Canis lupus familiaris: one gene and its partners. Each later gene encodes a partner of the first gene's protein in a complex. Links are inferred from orthologs where the notes say so. Each region holds a gene or a part of one and is shown in the gene's direction. Other genes may lie near its edges.

Evidence for each region.
Region 2: the proteins of RNASEH2B (region 1) and RNASEH2C are in contact, whole or in part, in a crystal structure (PDB 3PUF), measured with the Homo sapiens proteins. The link is inferred for Canis lupus familiaris from reciprocal best matches to the Homo sapiens genes RNASEH2B and RNASEH2C. Residues at the interface, in NP_078846.2 of Homo sapiens: Arg14, Gln15, His16, Val17, Phe18, Leu19, Val20, Ser21, Glu22, Leu24, Leu35, Met36, Phe37, Val38, Lys39, Leu52, Glu62, Lys64, Phe66, Glu68, His70, His71, Ser72, Trp73, Phe74, Ile75, Asn76, Gln77, Ser78, Val79; in NP_115569.2 of Homo sapiens: Ile9, His12, Arg13, Val14, His15, Leu16, Ser18, Ala27, Thr28, Leu29, His30, Leu31, Leu32, Pro33, Cys34, Glu35, Val36, Ala37, Val38, Asp39, Gly40, Pro41, Ala42, Pro43, Val44, Gly45, Phe48, Phe63, Val75, Pro77.
Region 3: the proteins of RNASEH2B (region 1) and PCNA are in contact, whole or in part, in a crystal structure (PDB 3P87), measured with the Homo sapiens proteins. The link is inferred for Canis lupus familiaris from reciprocal best matches to the Homo sapiens genes RNASEH2B and PCNA. Residues at the interface, in NP_078846.2 of Homo sapiens: Asp290, Ser292, Gly293, Met294, Lys295, Ser296, Ile297, Asp298, Phe300, Phe301; in NP_002583.1 of Homo sapiens: Met40, His44, Val45, Ser46, Leu47, Glu124, Leu126, Gly127, Ile128, Pro129, Phe207, Ala208, Asp232, Val233, Pro234, Tyr250, Leu251, Ala252, Pro253, Lys254, Ile255, Glu256.
Region 4: the proteins of RNASEH2B (region 1) and RNASEH2A are in contact, whole or in part, in a crystal structure (PDB 3PUF), measured with the Homo sapiens proteins. The link is inferred for Canis lupus familiaris from reciprocal best matches to the Homo sapiens genes RNASEH2B and RNASEH2A. Residues at the interface, in NP_078846.2 of Homo sapiens: His16, Phe18, Lys39, Asn42, Gly48, Ala49, Ile50, Val63, Lys64, Val65, Phe66, Lys67, His70, Phe74, Val79, His86, Phe87, Val183, Tyr211, Gly214, Leu215, Asp218, Tyr219; in NP_006388.2 of Homo sapiens: Val227, Phe228, Ile253, Trp254, Glu255, Ser284, His285, Tyr287, Phe288, Arg291, Gly292, Leu293, Glu294, Ser295, Ala296, Thr297, Ser298, Leu299.

What each region holds. Positions count from the first base shown.
Region 1 is NC_049243.1:922,280-925,440, reverse strand, and holds the end of RNASEH2B (ribonuclease H2 subunit B), read left to right. Parts: intron 1-2,162; coding exon 2,163-2,279; 3' UTR 2,280-2,599; downstream 2,600-3,161. UniProt on the Homo sapiens protein: Non catalytic subunit of RNase H2, an endonuclease that specifically degrades the RNA of RNA:DNA hybrids. Participates in DNA replication, possibly by mediating the removal of lagging-strand Okazaki fragment RNA primers during DNA replication.
Region 2 is NC_049239.1:51,998,561-52,002,860, forward strand, and holds the start of RNASEH2C (ribonuclease H2 subunit C), read left to right. Parts: upstream 1-1,443; 5' UTR 1,444-1,517; coding exon 1,518-1,689; intron 1,690-1,877; coding exon 1,878-2,065; intron 2,066-2,150; coding exon 2,151-2,270; intron 2,271-2,570; coding exon of another isoform or gene 2,571-2,597; exon of another isoform or gene 2,598-2,705; intron 2,706-2,778; exon of another isoform or gene 2,779-3,186; coding exon of another isoform or gene 3,187-3,321; intron 3,322-3,412; coding exon of another isoform or gene 3,413-3,494; intron 3,495-3,618; coding exon of another isoform or gene 3,619-3,778; intron 3,779-3,940; coding exon 3,941-4,051; 3' UTR 4,052-4,059; exon of another isoform or gene 4,060-4,300. Other genes in the region: histone acetyltransferase KAT5, read right to left, coding at 3,187-3,321, 3,413-3,494, 3,619-3,778.
Region 3 is NC_049245.1:16,928,695-16,932,695, forward strand, and holds the start of PCNA (proliferating cell nuclear antigen), read left to right. Parts: upstream 1-1,201; 5' UTR 1,202-1,397; coding exon 1,398-1,618; intron 1,619-2,678; coding exon 2,679-2,776; intron 2,777-2,944; coding exon 2,945-3,012; intron 3,013-3,901; coding exon 3,902-4,001. UniProt on the Homo sapiens protein: Auxiliary protein of DNA polymerase delta and epsilon, is involved in the control of eukaryotic DNA replication by increasing the polymerase's processibility during elongation of the leading strand.
Region 4 is NC_049241.1:49,746,558-49,750,757, reverse strand, and holds the start of RNASEH2A (ribonuclease H2 subunit A), read left to right. Parts: upstream 1-1,386; 5' UTR 1,387-1,534; coding exon 1,535-1,661; intron 1,662-1,850; coding exon 1,851-1,922; intron 1,923-2,045; coding exon 2,046-2,172; intron 2,173-2,274; coding exon 2,275-2,362; intron 2,363-4,200. Other genes in the region: THSD8 (thrombospondin type-1 domain-containing protein 8), read left to right, coding at 259-458. UniProt on the Homo sapiens protein: Catalytic subunit of RNase HII, an endonuclease that specifically degrades the RNA of RNA:DNA hybrids. Participates in DNA replication, possibly by mediating the removal of lagging-strand Okazaki fragment RNA primers during DNA replication.

The sequences.
Region 1 (3,161 bases):
ATGAGCTCTGTGGAAAAAAAAAAAGGAAAAAAAAAGAAAACATGAGCTCTTTCCATGATTTTTGAGATAATATATAAATATATGTGTGTGTGTACATATATAGGATTGTGATTTGAGACAATATATAAATATATGTGTGCACATATATAGGATTGTGGTTTTATATATTTATTATATATAATCATATGATTTTGTCATATAATCATATACATGACTATAAAACATGTAAATCATGTGGAAGGAGCTCATGTTTATATATGTGTGTAAATATATGTTTATGTATGTGTGTGTATACATGTTATATAAACTGTATATATATGCACATATGTATGTGTATATGTATATAAACTGCTTTCCAAAAATGTAGAAATTTGTATTCCCAACCATCATTGCTGTTGAGCATTCATCTTGCTTTGTTGACAACACTGAATATTATCTTTATTCTTGAAATTTTTGACTCTCTAATTAGGCTGTATTTCTCTGACGAGAAAAGTTAGTTGTTGTTTTTTCCAAATGATTGTGGTCCATTTGCATTTCTGCAAATTGTCAGTCCATGTCCAGTGCCTGTTTTTCGTATTGGAATACTAGGGTTTTTCTTGTTGATTTTTAAGAGCCTATTCTAGATTAGGAATTTAACAACACTTCATGACATACAGGGTACAAATAATTCCCTAATTGGCTTTTAGCCTTTTTATTCTATTTTTTTTTAAACAGTTGTAAGTTATTCTGAGGATTAAATGTAGGAAATGTTTTTCCTTGTGATTTTCTCATTATTTTTATGCTTAGAAAGACCTTGCCTGCCCTAAGATAAATTAACTTCCTCCTAAATTTTATTTTTTTTATTATTTTTTAAAGATTTTATTCATTTATTCATGAGAGACACAAAGAGAGAGGCAGAGACACAGGCAGAGGGAGAAGCAGGCTCCATGCAGGGAGCCCGACGTGGGACTGGGACTCGATCCTGGGTCTCCAGGATCATGTCCTGGGCTGAAGGCAGGTGCCAAAAGGCTGAGCCACCCAGGGATCCCCTTCTCCTAAATTTTAACAGCAGTTACCCGCTCCTTGGCATTTAACGTTCATCGGTTTGACTCTTGGGGCTCTGCGTAACGTATCTGGGCAGGCCACGTCAGGGGGTAATCCAAGTTGAGACTTGGCAAGATAGGGAGCATTCTGGACGGCTTCCGTAGAGGGCCGTTCCTGAGTTCCTCCATGGAATTGTTTCTGCCCCCACCCTTGTGACGGCTGCTTTTTGTCCCGTCTACCTGGGCACAGTCCCAGGAACTGAGAGGTTGGGCCAGGGTGTCAGCTGAATTCGGGGGATAACTCGTCTCGAGGAGACTGTCACTTTGTCCCATCCAGGCAAAAAACAAGCCCCTGAAATGGGGCCGAATATGAGAAGCAAGATGCCAGGGACCATGCCCCGTGCCCTTGGAAGGTTCTCCGGCAGAGGCTTCGCCCCACGGCGCTCGGGGGACAGAGGGCTTGGCTTCGGCTTTGCCGAGTCCCACCCCGTGTGGCCCTGCTGCTCTTTAGCCTCTGGCACGTGGGTCCCAGGACGGAGCCAGGCAGTGACCGGCAGGGGAGCGGCCTTTAAAAGGCAGGGCTCCTCCAAGGCAGCCTTTTGAAAAGTCTCCCTTTGTTGGAAGAGGACCGGGGCGGTCGCCCTGCTGGTCCCCATGCTCCCGGGTACGGGTTGTCTGGGATACAGCAGCTGTCCTAGGCCCCCGTGGCTGCCCTGGGCCCCCGAGAGCAACGCAGCGGCGCCCGTTGTGCACCCGTCATCACGCCGCAACACGCTGTGACCCCCCCAGTCGCTCCCAGTCTCTTTGTTGGCGCTACTGGGCTAATAGGCCCTTCCTCCGGAGCCGTCCCCCCAAAGTCAACCACGGGTCGTAACGTTCCACCCTCAGAGGGCAGAGGTTTGTCTCCTGCCTGTTGCTCCAGACTTTATGTCTTGGGTCTAAACTCGGAATGGAAATCAGAACTTAAAAAAAAAAATCATCATCATCATCATCATCATCATCATCATCATCATTGCTCCCTTATGAAACACGTTAGCAACAAATACATGAACCTTGAGACATGCATGGTCTTGTCTGATTTGCATGTACGATTCATAAATGTTACATTTGTAACAATTTTTCTCTTATTTTCCTTAACAGAAAAATAGCAAAATGACTGCAGCTCAGAAGGCTTTGGCTAAAGTTGACAAGAGTGGAATGAAAAGTATTGATTCCTTTTTTGCTACGAAAAATAAAAAAAAAATTGAAAAGATCTGAAACTTTGACAATGAAATCTAGCAAAATTATTTGCCTTTTACATGTTCCTTTTTTGTCCTTCCCCCACACCAATGTACCTCCTGACTTAATTACTGCCTTTTGGAGGAAAAAAAAAAAAAAATCAAGGCAATTTTCAGAGTCAGACATTTCCTGGGATTTGATTTTTGTCTTTCTGAACAAAATGTGGGAAAGTCATTGTGTAACTCTGTGGCCTGTGGCCTTCAGAGTTTTGTTTGACATCATGAAAAGTAATCAAGTGAATAGAGTTATCCTCTAGCTGGCATCCTGGTTTTTGCTCAATAAACTGACATGTGACAATATTTGAGTGTGTGCCTGTTACTTTATGCCGCTTTGCCACACGGTGCCTATAGCAGTATGGTTTTCAGCGCACTGACAGCAATCAGCAGCTGTCGGGGAGACTACTACCTCCTAAAAGCCATTTGTTTTCAGTAAATCTTCTGTTTAATATTTTCTGTTTTATGAATACATGTTTGTTGTAGAAAATAGGGAAAGGCGTAAAATTAAAGTGGTAATCTCCCAACTTGACACTACCCAGAGATCATATATGGCACATGTTCTTATAATAATAATTTTTTAAGGAATCGTAATACTAATTTTATCATCTTCTTTCTTGACACTTTATTTTGGGAGCATCTTCCCAGGCTACTAAAGTATTCTTCATAAATACGCTTTTTTTTAATGCTGGTCATTTTTAATTATTTGGATATTTGATTATTTAATGACCATGACCCTATTTTGGACATTTACATTACTTACAAATGTTCACTGTTTGAAGAATCAGATTATAAGTAAATGTTTGTTCACATCTTTAATTGCTCCCTTAGAATAGATTTTTAGATGTGGACTTGCCAGTTTATAACT
Region 2 (4,300 bases), on another chromosome or scaffold:
TCCCGGTGCATGGAGCCTGCTTCTCCCTCTGCCTGTGTCTCTGCCTCTCTCTCTCTCTCTCTCTCTCTCTCTCTCTGTGACTATCATAAATAAATAAAAATTTAAAAAAAAATAAAAATAAAAAAATAAAATACATAACTATTATATACAACAAAAAAACAACTTTAGAGTTGCACAGGCAGACATTAAAGGAGATAAGAATAAGGGTGGCTCAGTGGTTTAGCGCTGCCTTCAGCCCAGGGCTTGATCCTGGAGACCTGTGATCAAGTCCCAGGTTGGGCTCCCTGCATGGAGCCTGCTTCTCCCTCTGCCTGTGTCTCTGCCTCTCTCTCTCTCTCTCTCATTAATAAATAAATAAATAATCTTTAAAAAAAGAATAAATGGTATTAAAGAAAAAAAAAGAACAAATGGTATTATATATCTTATTCTTGATAGAAAACTACAGCAAGACGCTCTAATCTGTTAGTACCCTCCAGCCAAAGACTACCAGGAAACATCTATAGTTGAACAGACGTGTTTATTACTCTTGTACTGTTGGACATCTCAGTAAGATGGTGTTCAGAAAGGATTTACAGGATTTGGCTTGCGCTAAGTGATTTGGGGGAGGGTTTAAGAAAGCCAGAGTTTTTCTCTGGATTGGATACTGTCAAGAAGGGGAAGTATTTCTAGGATGGGATATGTTAACAGATCTTACCCAGACAAAAGCTAAAGCTGTAATTGGTAAAGTTCACTTATATTTCCCAACATGGTCGATGTTTCATCATTCTTGTGGTTTGGACAATGTTCCTCTCTTTGTTGGTGATCACATGACTATAGAGTGATCTTGTTTTTGTCTTGATCCCTCACATCACGCAGTGACTTTGTCCAATGTTGATACTCTGTGAAATTGTTCATGTTTAACAGAACACCACGGCCAGTACCTGGATGTCTGGAGGTGTGTTTAACTTTCTCAAATCTATAAATTAAATGCAATTTTAAACTTAATTGCCAGTTATGTCTGTTCTTGTTTTACGAAAGAACTTGACAAAACATATTTAATTTGGGTATCTGAACAAATAAACATTAGGAAAGAGTTAAGAAACCAAAAAAGAAATAGTATTGCGTAAACAAAAAAGACGTAAGAAGAAAAGATTGATTAATCTACTACAAAAAAAAATAAGTCAGTTTGGAGAACAAATCACAAACTCGGATAAAATAACTTCAACGCATTTGAGGAAGTGATGTCCCCAGTAAAACAAACAAGCAACTCTCCCTACCAATAACATAAAAAGAGTACTTTTCGGAATAGTTTCGATTTTTTACCATAAGAATGTACTCCTGAAAATCATTTTCAAGAAAAAAAGACTGGGATTTGAACACATCGAGGCAGGGCTCGCAGAGGCTCAGAGGAGCCTCAAGGAAGGACTACGCTTCCCAGGAGGCTCTGAGCTGAGCGTCCCCGGACTCCCGACAGGCTCCGCGCGCTTTACGCGCCAGCTTTGGCCTTGGCCACCGAGCAGCGGAATCGGCGGCGGAGAATGGAGAGTAGCGAGGAGGCAGCAGTCGAGAAGTGCCGCGTCCACTTGCGCCCCGGCACGCTGCGCGACGCCGCTCGCGCCACGCTGCATCTTCTGCCTTGCGAGGTTCTAGTTAACCGGCCCGCCCCCGTGGACCGCTTCTTCACCCCAGCCATTCGACAGGGTCCCGACGGTGAGTGCTCACCGCCGGACTACGACTCCCGGCAACCCCCGCGCCCACGCCACGTTCTCCTCGGCGAGGAGTGGCGCGAGGGCTCCTGGGGATCGTGGTCCAACGGAGGTGGCGGGAGGGCCCCGGGGGGCTTGCCCCGCAAGCCCTGAATCAAGCCCGTACCGAGGTCCCGAGCCTGCCTTCTGCAGGACTCGAAGTGTCGTTTCGGGGCCGCAAACTACGAGGCGAGGAGGTGGTGGTGCCTCCTGGCCTCGTGGGATACGTGATGGCGATGGAGGAGCAGGGAGAGGTGTCGATGGAGAAGGACTTCTCGGAGGGTGACGAGCGAGAGGAGCAGGAGCGGGCAGAACCCCGCGAGGCGCTGGAGCGGGACTTCGTGAGCACGGGGGTGGAGGGGCAGGGCTGGAGAGTGGTGCGGGCGGCAGCGGTGGCCCTCATGCTGAGCCGGGCCCCTTCCTCAGGACCAGTTTATCGGAGCCATCGCCAGTTTCAGCCGCTTCACGCTATGGGGTCTGGAGACCATTCCTGGTCCGGACGCCAAAGTGCGCGGGGCCCTAACCTGGCCCAGTCTGGCCGCAGCGGTGAGTAGGGGGATGGGACCTCACTCTTCAGGCCCCATCCATTCCCTTGTGCCTTCAAGGGTATTCCCTGGACTGTCCAGAATCTTGTCCGAGTGGACTTGGGGCTTCAGGGCCGGGGAGTACAATGGGGTACAAGGAGCCTGGGTCTGACTGGATTAGACTGGTCAGGGGCAGGGGCGCTTCCCTACCTCTGACTGGTCTAGAAGGGGTTGTCATTCTGAGTAGCTGGGTCACTCCCAGAGTATGTGGGCCACCCAGTGTGTGTCAAAAACCCAATAGTAGAGGTGACTCCTGTTGCAGATTCACGCACAGGTGCCTGAAGACTGAGAGCCGGAACTTGAAATTGAAAGCCACTGGTTCCTTCACCCCAATAAACCAGCTCTTCATTTTGGAACCACTGATTCCATCACCCCAATAAACAAGCTCTTCACAGCACCTGCGAGTTTGTGGGCACCTTGGAGTCTTCTAAGCTGGCACTACCCCTTCTCCCACAAGAAACTTTCATGGCTCAGTCTATAGAAATGATTTATTGCCAAGGAGCAGTGAGGGCAAGAGGCCAGAATTTTGCTGCCAGTACCCACCCCTCCTCCCAACTCCTTACAAAAGAAATTTTTACAGCCACTAGCCCTCTGTACAGAGTGCACCCACCCCCCATCTCACTGTACATAGCTGCTTGGCTCCGTCCAGTCCCTGCTTCATAGCAGGCCCAGACCTGCAGCCAGTTGACCTTGGAGTTGACCTGAGCCCTGAGCTCGCCTTGGTGCTGGGCAGCTAGCCCCTACCAGGCCTGTCCTCTCCTTATGAAGCTGTCCTCAGCCCCACCTCCCTTGGTGTGCCTCTTGGGGGCCCTGGTGGGGGTGGGATGTGCTGTCAGCCCCAGTTCTGCTTTGTTGCCACTGCTATAGACAGTGCCTGGTCACCATTTTCCCCTCTTGCTCCAGTCCTTGGGAGTGAAGTGCAAACACTTGGAGTCGATTCGAAGGAGCCGCTTGAGCATAGCTCTTTCATGCCCATCCACGATGTCCTCAGACAGTGTGAGGATATACTGGCCCTGGATGGGAGATAGGACCGGAAGGGTCAGCCCATGTGGGGTGCACACTCTGCAGCCCTACACACACGTCTCCCCCTGCCTGCCTCCCTACCTTGTAGTAGTTGATGAGATTGAGGTACTGTAGAGTAGAAATGACATCTTCCTTCTTGATGCTGGTGATTTCACTGATCTCGCTGTGGGAGGACAAGGATCAGGTCCTCTGGAGGCCTTCCTCTCTGCCCCAAGCCCCCAGGAGCCCCAGGAATGAGGATGGGCCATGCCATGCACCCCCAGGGTCAGAGGTAGGGCCAGGCTCACTTGATGGTGATCTGTGGCCTCTCCCCGCTCTCTGACTTCAGCCCCATCAGGATCTCCAGGATGGTCTGGGACCAGTAGCTTCGGTAGGATAGGAGGCCAAGGTCTGAGAGGGGCTTCTCAGGGGTCCCCGTTTTCCCTTCCACTTTGGAGAGTTCATAGCCTACAGCAAGGCAGCAAGAAGGGGTGGGTAAGCGATCACACCTTCATGCAACTTTCAGAATATGGTTACAGGAGTAAACTGCCTGGTTCCCATCTCACCCTTGCCATGTGGTAGTTCTGTGACCTGACATACGTAGCTAGTCTGCTGTGTCTGTTTCCCCAGAGAGCTAATGAGCATTCACTCTTCATCTCTGTGCTGTGGAGGGTACTGAAAGGAACAGCTATAATCCACCTGGAGAAAAACTCAGGAACCAGGGAAGTGCAGAGAAAATGACAAGAAAGGCAAGTGCCTGATTTTCATCATTCCAGACCATATCTCCTGGGTATGTGAGAAGGGAAGGCAGCCCCCACGTGTGGTCTGGGCCTCAGGATGTCTGGATTTGCAGTCAAGTCAGTCCCCCTAGCTGTGACCTGGGGAGCATTGGCTGCTCCAGGACCAGGCTGGCCTGACTAGGTGTTGATAAGAAGCAAGGAGAGGCACTAATGTACTTCCCAGGTCAGAAGGCGGCCATTCCACAGCAGG
Region 3 (4,001 bases), on another chromosome or scaffold:
GTGCCTATCATAAATAAATAAATAAATACATAAATAAAATTAAAAAAAAGAACCTGTTTAAAAAAAAAAAAAGGGGGGGGGGTGGGGGAAAAAAGGTGGGGGGAGGGGACGCCTAGGTGGCTCAGCGGTTTAGCGCCGCCTTCAGCCCAGGGTGTGATCCTGGAGTCCCGGGATCGAGTCCCACGTCGGGCTCCCTGCATGGAGCCTGCTTCTCCCTCTGCCTGTGTCTCTGCCTCTCTCTGTCTCTGTGTGTCTCTCACGAATATCTTAAAAAAAAAAAAAAAAAAATTTACAAATGGGGACACCTGAGTGGCTCAGTGGTTGAACATCTGCCTTTGGCTCAGGGCCTGATCCCGGGGTCCTGGGATTGAGTCCTGCATCAGGCTCTGTGCAGGGAACCTGCTTCTCCCTCTACCTACGTCTCTGCCTCTCTGTATCTCTCATGAGTAAATAAAATATTTAAAATCTTATTTATTTGAGAGAGAAAACATATTGGGGAGGGGCAGAGGGAGAAGGAGAGGTAGAAGCAGACTCCTCCCGGAGCCAGGAGCCAACCTTGGATCTAGATCTCAGGACCCTGGGGTCATGACCTGAGCCAAAGGCAGAGGCTCCACTGACTGAACCACCCACGTGCCCCCTGTAACAAGTTTTTAATATGCAGATCAGAATTTTCACGCAAATAAGCTTAGATTTTTAAAACAAGATTGCTGATATCTGTATTTAGGAAAATATTGTAGATTGCAATCTTTCAGTGGTCAGCTTAGCAACATTTATCAACACATCACTTCTACGATAGCAAAAATAAAATGCACTTTTAAAACAGCTGTATTCCTCGGGCCGCCAGGCGTCTTCCTCCCGGTGGGCTGGATTTGCCTTTCACTTTCACGGCCAAAGCCTTTCTAGTCCTGAAGCGGGAGGTTGAGGAGGCAGCACAAGGCTGTAACTCAAAGAACCCCAACCTGGGTCTGGCCGTCACAAGCCCAGACTTGTTCAGCGCCCGGCGTCGCGAGCGGGGTGGAGAAGGCAGTCCCGCGGGAGGCGGAGGCGCCCCGCTCCTGCCCCGCCCCTGCCCCGCCCCTGCGGCCGACCCTTCAGTGGACGTTCAGGGAGGACGGGCTGGAGCGGAGGCCAAGGACACTATTGGCCCCGGAGTCCGTCCGCCAGGGAGTGGGCGGGGCAACGTGGTGACGCGCCACGCGCGGCGCAGAGGCGGAGCGCGCGCGCCAGCAGACGCGGCGCTATTAAACGGTTGCAGGCGGAGCGGGCGGGCGGTGATCGTCCCGGCTCCCCGGCCCTCGCCGCTGCGTTCGCCAGCTCGCTCGTACCCCGTGACGCCAAGCCGGCTACAACTTCCTCTTCGTCTCCGCCTGCAGCTGTGTCGTTGTGACTCTGCCACCATGTTCGAGGCGCGCCTGGTCCAGGGCTCCATCCTGAAGAAGGTGCTGGAGGCGCTTAAGGATCTCATCAACGAGGCCTGCTGGGACATCAGCTCGAGCGGCGTAAACCTGCAGAGCATGGACTCCTCCCACGTCTCCCTGGTGCAGCTCACTCTGCGCTCCGAGGGCTTCGACACGTACCGCTGCGACCGCAACTTGGCCATGGGTGTGAACCTCACCAGGTGAGCCCCTGGGGTCGCCAAGGGCCGGGCTCTCTCGCACCCCCACCTCCGGCTCTTGGCGGGAGCGCCTGCGAGCTAGGTCCTCATTGGCTGGCGTGGGCGACCCGCGCCTTCTCATTGGCCTGCGGCGCCCAGGGGCGGGATCTAGCGGAGCGCGCGGTTCCGAAAGCCCGCGCTGGCAGCCGCGCGAACCGGCGTTTTCCGCGCCAAAGTCACAAAGCGGGTGGTGGCGGGAAAATGACGGGCTTCTTCGTGGTGCCGGGAAAAGACTTACACAGCACCTTGGCCACTAAGTGCCGGCGGCCTTGGATGAGAACCCTTTGGCTTGACTGCCTTTAACCGCTTTATAATGTGCCCGAGTTACGTCACCCTACCTAGGGACCATCGGTTGATTCTGGTCCTTTATTATTAGGAAGTTGCAGTGAGCACCCTAAGTTCCTGGACTTAAAATTTCTCCAGGGCAGTGGCTTTCAACTCTTTGATCACTACATGTCTAGTACATGAACATGTTTAAAGATTTTATTTATTCGTGAGAGACGCAGGCAGAGGGAGAAGCAGGCTCCCTCAGGCTCCACATAGGGAGCTCTATGTGGGACTCCATCCCAGGACCCCGGGATCACGACGTGAGCCAAAGGCAGGCGCTCAACCACTGAGCCACCCCGCCTTCCAAAAACATGTTCAAATATGAGGCTTATGAGAAATAGTTGACCTCGACTGCATGCAGTGTGTATTAATAAGTATCTTAGCTCATTTTTCTTGACCGTCAGGACCCAATAATTTGCTTCGCGCACCAAAGGGATTTGCAATTTGCAATGCGTGAAATGCTGCTCTTTTATTTGTATCTAGAAGTGAAATTGCTCATGGTAGGCTGTGTGCCTGTTTAAGAATAAATACTGCCAAATTGGGTTACAAAATGGCCGGATTAGTTTACCTCACTCACCAATTCCTCAGACGACCTTGGTAAATAAAGATGGTAACTCCTTGTTTTAATTGGGTCAGAAATCTTAACGATTCTGAGAACGTTGTGGCAATTTTAAATCCTGTGTCTTCCGTGTTCTAGCATGTCCAAAATACTAAAATGTGCTGGCAATGAAGACATCATTACACTAAGGGCTGAAGATAATGCGGACACCTTGGCACTAGTATTTGAAGCTCCAAGTAGGTGATACTCTTCTACTAAATTATATTAGAGGAAATTTAAATGCAGTGTAAAAGATTTCTCTTAGTTGTGAAAAACTTAAGAAAATGTTCCTAATGATTGTAAAGCTTATTAATGGCATAGTTATAAACTTACATACTTTTCTTCAATCTGCTTTCTTTTGGTAGATCAAGAAAAAGTTTCAGACTATGAAATGAAGTTAATGGATTTAGATGTTGAACAACTTGGAATTCCAGTGAGTATTAAGAGTAGACTTTAAAGCAGTGTTAGGGGATCCCTGGGTGGCTCAGCGGTTTGGCACCTGCCTTCCGCCAGGGGCATAATCCTGGAGTCCCAGGATTGAGGCTCCCTGCATGGAGCTTGCTTCTCCCTCTTCTTGTGTCTCTGCCTCTCTCTCTGTCTCTGTGTCTTTCATGAATAAATAAATAAAATCTTAAAAATAAAAATAAAGCTGTGTTAGCAGAAATTCATTCAGGTGAGGTTTATCAACATAAGAAATGTTGAGATGTTTAAAATCCTTACTATCTTATCTTCTTGTTTTGTTTTGGTAAGCAGTTGGGCCTGCTTGCACACGCATCATCATTTGTAGGCCATACCCTAATGTCCTCTTGATTTAGCCCTGGAGGGGGATTTAGGGGGAGGCTCTTTTCTCCTGGATAGTGCATTTATCATTAAAGATTTAAACTTTAATTTTAGTTTTCTTAGTATGATTATTCTTATGACATATTGTTTTAAAAATTTTTTTTTAATTTTTATTTATTTATGATAGTCACAGAGAGAGAGAGAGAGAGAGAGAGAGAGAGGCAGAGACACAGGCAGAGGGAGAAGCAGGCTCCATGCACCGGGAGCCTGATGTGGGATTCGATCCCGGGTCTCCAGGATCGCGCCCTGGGCCAAAGGCAGGCGCCAAACTGCTGCGCCACCCAGGGATCCCCATACTTGTTTTATATCTGCATTTATTTTTTGAGTTAGAGATTATGTTATGGAAATACACAATGAGTGATATTTTAAAGTAATCAGAAAACCTTAAATTCTGAATTCTTGTCTAAATGCTGAGGCTTCAGAAAAATGAGAATGCCAAATTTAGTTTCCAGCAAGTGAACTCTAATTTTTCATTTTAACAGGAACAAGAATATAGCTGTGTGGTAAAGATGCCTTCTGGAGAATTTGCACGTATATGCCGAGATCTGAGTCACATCGGAGATGCTGTTGTAATTTCCTGCG
Region 4 (4,200 bases), on another chromosome or scaffold:
GGGAAGTGTCAGTTTGCAATTCCTCTGGGCAACACACCAGATGTATCAGCTCAAGGGGTGGCTTGCTTTCTATAGGTCTCAGTTTCCCCACCTGGGAATAATGGGAAAATTAAATTAGATCATCTATGGTGGAGTGCTTGGCACAGACGCAGAGCCCAGCAAACAGGAGATGTTGTTGTTAGTGTATTTATCTGCCTCTCTTCCTAGAGGAGGGCATGGCGGGGGTAGGTTCCCCCCTACCTGGCCCTCTATCCCTAGACTTGGAGGACTCGATCCTTGGCCCCTGGGGGAAGTGGCGCTGTTTCTGCGACCTGGGCAAGCAGGAGCGCAGCCGCGAGGTCCTGGGCACGGCGCCGGGTCCGGTGTTCATGGACCGCGAGAATCTGGTGCAGGTGCGGCCCTGCAGGCAACGGGATTGTTCATCCTGCAAACCAACGGATTGCGACTGGAGGCCCTGAACCCGGGTGAGAGACTAGCGCAGAGGAGGCGGGGCCAGGGCAGGTGGTCTAGTCCGGGGTTGGGAGTCCTCAGGGCCTGGGATGAGGCGAGAGAAAAGGCGGGGCGTGGGGGGTGCGGGCAGGAGAGCCTTTAGGGATGAGGCTTAAAGATGGTGGGGAAAGGTGAGCTGAGTCAGGAGCCGTGAGCCCCACTGATACCCGGGGAGAAAGGAAGAAAGCTAGTCATGGGCCGGGAGGGGGGGATCAGAGATGGAGGAACTGTGACCCTGAGGAAGGGACATGAGCCTGATGAGGGTCAAGGACCTATAGGGTGACGATGTGAGCCCCTTTGAGACTCGAGAACTGGGGGACATGAACCCTCAACTGGGGGTAATGGCCCTGCCTTGTGGGCTCAGACTCTCAGCAGAAGCCTATTGAGATCTGGGATCACAGTTGGGAGGGGGTGGGTGGAGGAGGCCTAGCCCCAGTTAGAGAGAGGTTAGGAAGCCGGGAAAGGGAGGGCGAGAGTCTGGGTGAGGTACCGAGAGAGGGAGCTGGACAGCAAATCTGAAGGCCTGAGCCCAGTGGAAGTAGGAATACCTGGTCCGGAGGGCTTAGCCTGTGTGGAATGGCAGGGACAGGGACCAGAGCCAGCATCCAGATCGGGGACCGGGACCCAGTGATGTGGGCACTGGCGGTAGTCTGGCAGTATAGTGATATTTGACCTTCTAGGCCCTGGCTGGGCCTCGGCCTCCAAGGCCTGCGTCAGTTTCCCACTTTTATTTCCCTATCTCCTAGCAGCCCCGACGGGCGGGGCGTCAGGGACTCCGGGGCGGAGCCTGGAAGGCGACCCCGCCCACCCCGTTCCCCCGAAGGAGCTCGGCGGTCGGCCTTGGGAACTACAATTCCCAGGAAGCCGCGCGGCAGGAGTTTCGGTGGCGGCTGCGGAAACGTCAACGGTGGCCGGAGCGTCGGGGGCGTGTCCCGGGCACCGATTGGTCGGGAGCCAGAGCCGCTTCGGGGCCGGCGGAAAACGCGCGCCTAGAACCGCTCCTGTAGACCTGGTTCTTGCGGTCGGTGGCGGCGGCAGAGACGGCATGGATTTCAGCGAGCTGGACAGAGACAACACGGGCCGCTGTCGCCTGAGCTCGCCTGTGCCCGCGGTGTGCCGCCAGGAGCCCTGCGTCCTGGGCGTCGATGAAGCGGGCCGGGGCCCGGTGCTGGGTGCGCCCCCAGGGCTGGGCTGGGGGAGGGGCGTGATTAGGGGAATGCACGTTGCACTGGAACGCAAGCCGGGATTGTACCCTACCCGGGGAGGGGGGTGATGGTGGTAATGGCACCGAAAAAAGCGGTGATGATGGAATAAGGATAGCGGTTTTCACGGGCTCACTGGTTGGACACTCGCTTCTCCAGGCCCCATGGTCTACGCCATCTGTTATTGCCCCCTGTCCCGCCTGGGAGATCTGGAAGCCCTGAAAGTGGCAGGTGAGCCCGAGGTGTGACCCTGGGGAGGTGGTTCCTGGGTGTGTGCAGGAGCGGGTGCAAACTGGAGGGGGAGAACAGCTGGGAGAACCAGTCGCACCCCTTCTCTCCCAACCCTCCTCCCAGACTCAAAGACCCTATCGGAGAGCGAGCGGGACAGGCTCTTTGTGAAAATGGAGAAGGACAGGGACTTTGTGGGCTGGGCATTGGACGTGCTGTCTCCAAACCTCATCTCTACGAGCATGCTTGGGCGGTGAGGGGCCTCTGGGAGGGGCCGGGTGGAGGGGCAGCCAGCGTGGCCTGGAAGGGATCGGTGTAGGGACCGGAACTGACTAGGTTTTGTCTCCCATTGCAGGGTCAAGTACAACCTGAACTCCCTATCCCATGATACAGCCACTGGGCTGGTGCAGTATGCCTTGGACCAGGGTGTGAAAGTTGCACAGGTGAGCTGTTGGATTGTCCACATTTGATCACTTCAGGATAAAATGGGAGTATATAAGTACAGTGGGTGATTCAGAGTCAGACATAACTGAGTTATCTCAGGAATATATATTGCTGTCTTTTGACTTTCTACTATTTTTCCTACCCAAAATGTGTGCCCCATATAGGATCAAGGAGGAGCCCCCAGCTCCACTCTCTTTTAATTTACCTCTGTATCTTTTTTTTTTTTTTTTTTTTTTAGGATTTCATTTATTTATTCATGAGAGACACAGAGAGAGAGAGGGAGAAACATAGGCAGAGGGAGAAGCAGGCTTCCTGTGAGAAGCCTGATGTAGGACTCGATCCCAGGACCCTTGGATCACAACCTGAGCCAAAGGCAGACACTCAACCACTGAGCCACCCAGGTGACCTGATTTATCTCTCTGTATCTTAAAGGCTCGGAATCCAGAACAAATCTATATCTGTTCCCCTGTCTGCAGCCTCTGTCCTAGCCCAGGGTACTCTTCTCTCCTGGATTCCCCCCCATCCTCCTCCCACTTTGAGGCCTGTCCTTTATAGTCTGCTCCTGTGAAGCAGATAGTCACGTTTTGAAACATAGATCTCAACATTTAATTTTTTGATCCCAGTAACAAATCTGGAAAGTTCAGTGTCAAGTGGAAGAGAGTGAGATTGAAATACCAGAAGGAAATAAAAGTTGGCATTGTATCCAGTACTCTGCGGCCAAGAACAGGCCGTTTTGAGAGAATAACAAGGATAAATACGCTTGAGATAGGGAACATAACAAGGGAGACCTTGTTGAGGAGATGGCTGAAGTCCAGGACTGGAATATGGAGCCCACAATGCAGTATTAGGACAGACAGACAAGGGCCCTGCCCTCTAGGGTTTGGTGACCAAGTCAGGAGGCACAGATGGTAGCTGGTAAGCAGATAATAAAGGTGATTTCTGAGGGTAACAGCAATGGAGATCACTGACTTGATCTCTCTATTCCAGCTATGAGGCCTCCCTGTTACTGTCTAGCATACTTGACATGGTCCCACCTCAGGGCCTTTGCACTAGCTGTTCTTTCTGGCTAGAATCCTCTTCACATGGCATCTTCACATGGCTCCTTCTCTTACCTTTTTCAGGCCTTTATTCAAATGTTACCACCTTGAAGTGACCATCCCCGAATCTCTCCTACCACTATATAAAATGATACCCCCCCAGCATGCCTGGCTGGCTCAGTCGTTAGAGCATGGTACTCTTGATCTCAGGGTCAAGAGTTTAAGCACCACATTGGACATAGAGCATACTTAAAAAAATAAGTAGGGCAGCCTGCGTGGCTCAGCGGTTTAGTGCCACCTTTGGCCCAGGTTGTGATCCTGGAGTCCCGGGATCGAGTCCCACATTAGGCTCCCTGCCTGGAGCCTGCTTCTCCCTCTGCCTGTGTCTCTCATGAATAAATAAATAAAATCTTAAAAAAAAAAGTAGATAAGAAATAAAATGATAATCTCTCCCAACTCTCCCCTGTCCTTTATTATTTATCCTGTTTCTTGTCTGTGGCACTTACCAGGGTATCCACTCCATGAAGACAGAGGTTTTTTTGTCTTGCATTTGCTTCTATAATTCCTGGCATCTGCTGTAGCTGTGGTATGCAGTAGGTGCTCAGTAAGTGTGGAATAGCTTCAGCTTGATCAGGGACAGCCTCTTTTGGAGGGGACTTTTCTTTTCCTTTTTTTTAAGTAATCTCTGCACCCAGTGTGGGGCTCAAATTCATGACGTGAAGATCAAGAGTTGCACACTCTGCCGACTGAGCCAGCCAGGTGCCCCTGGAGGGGACTTTTAAACTGAGATTGCCCGGGAT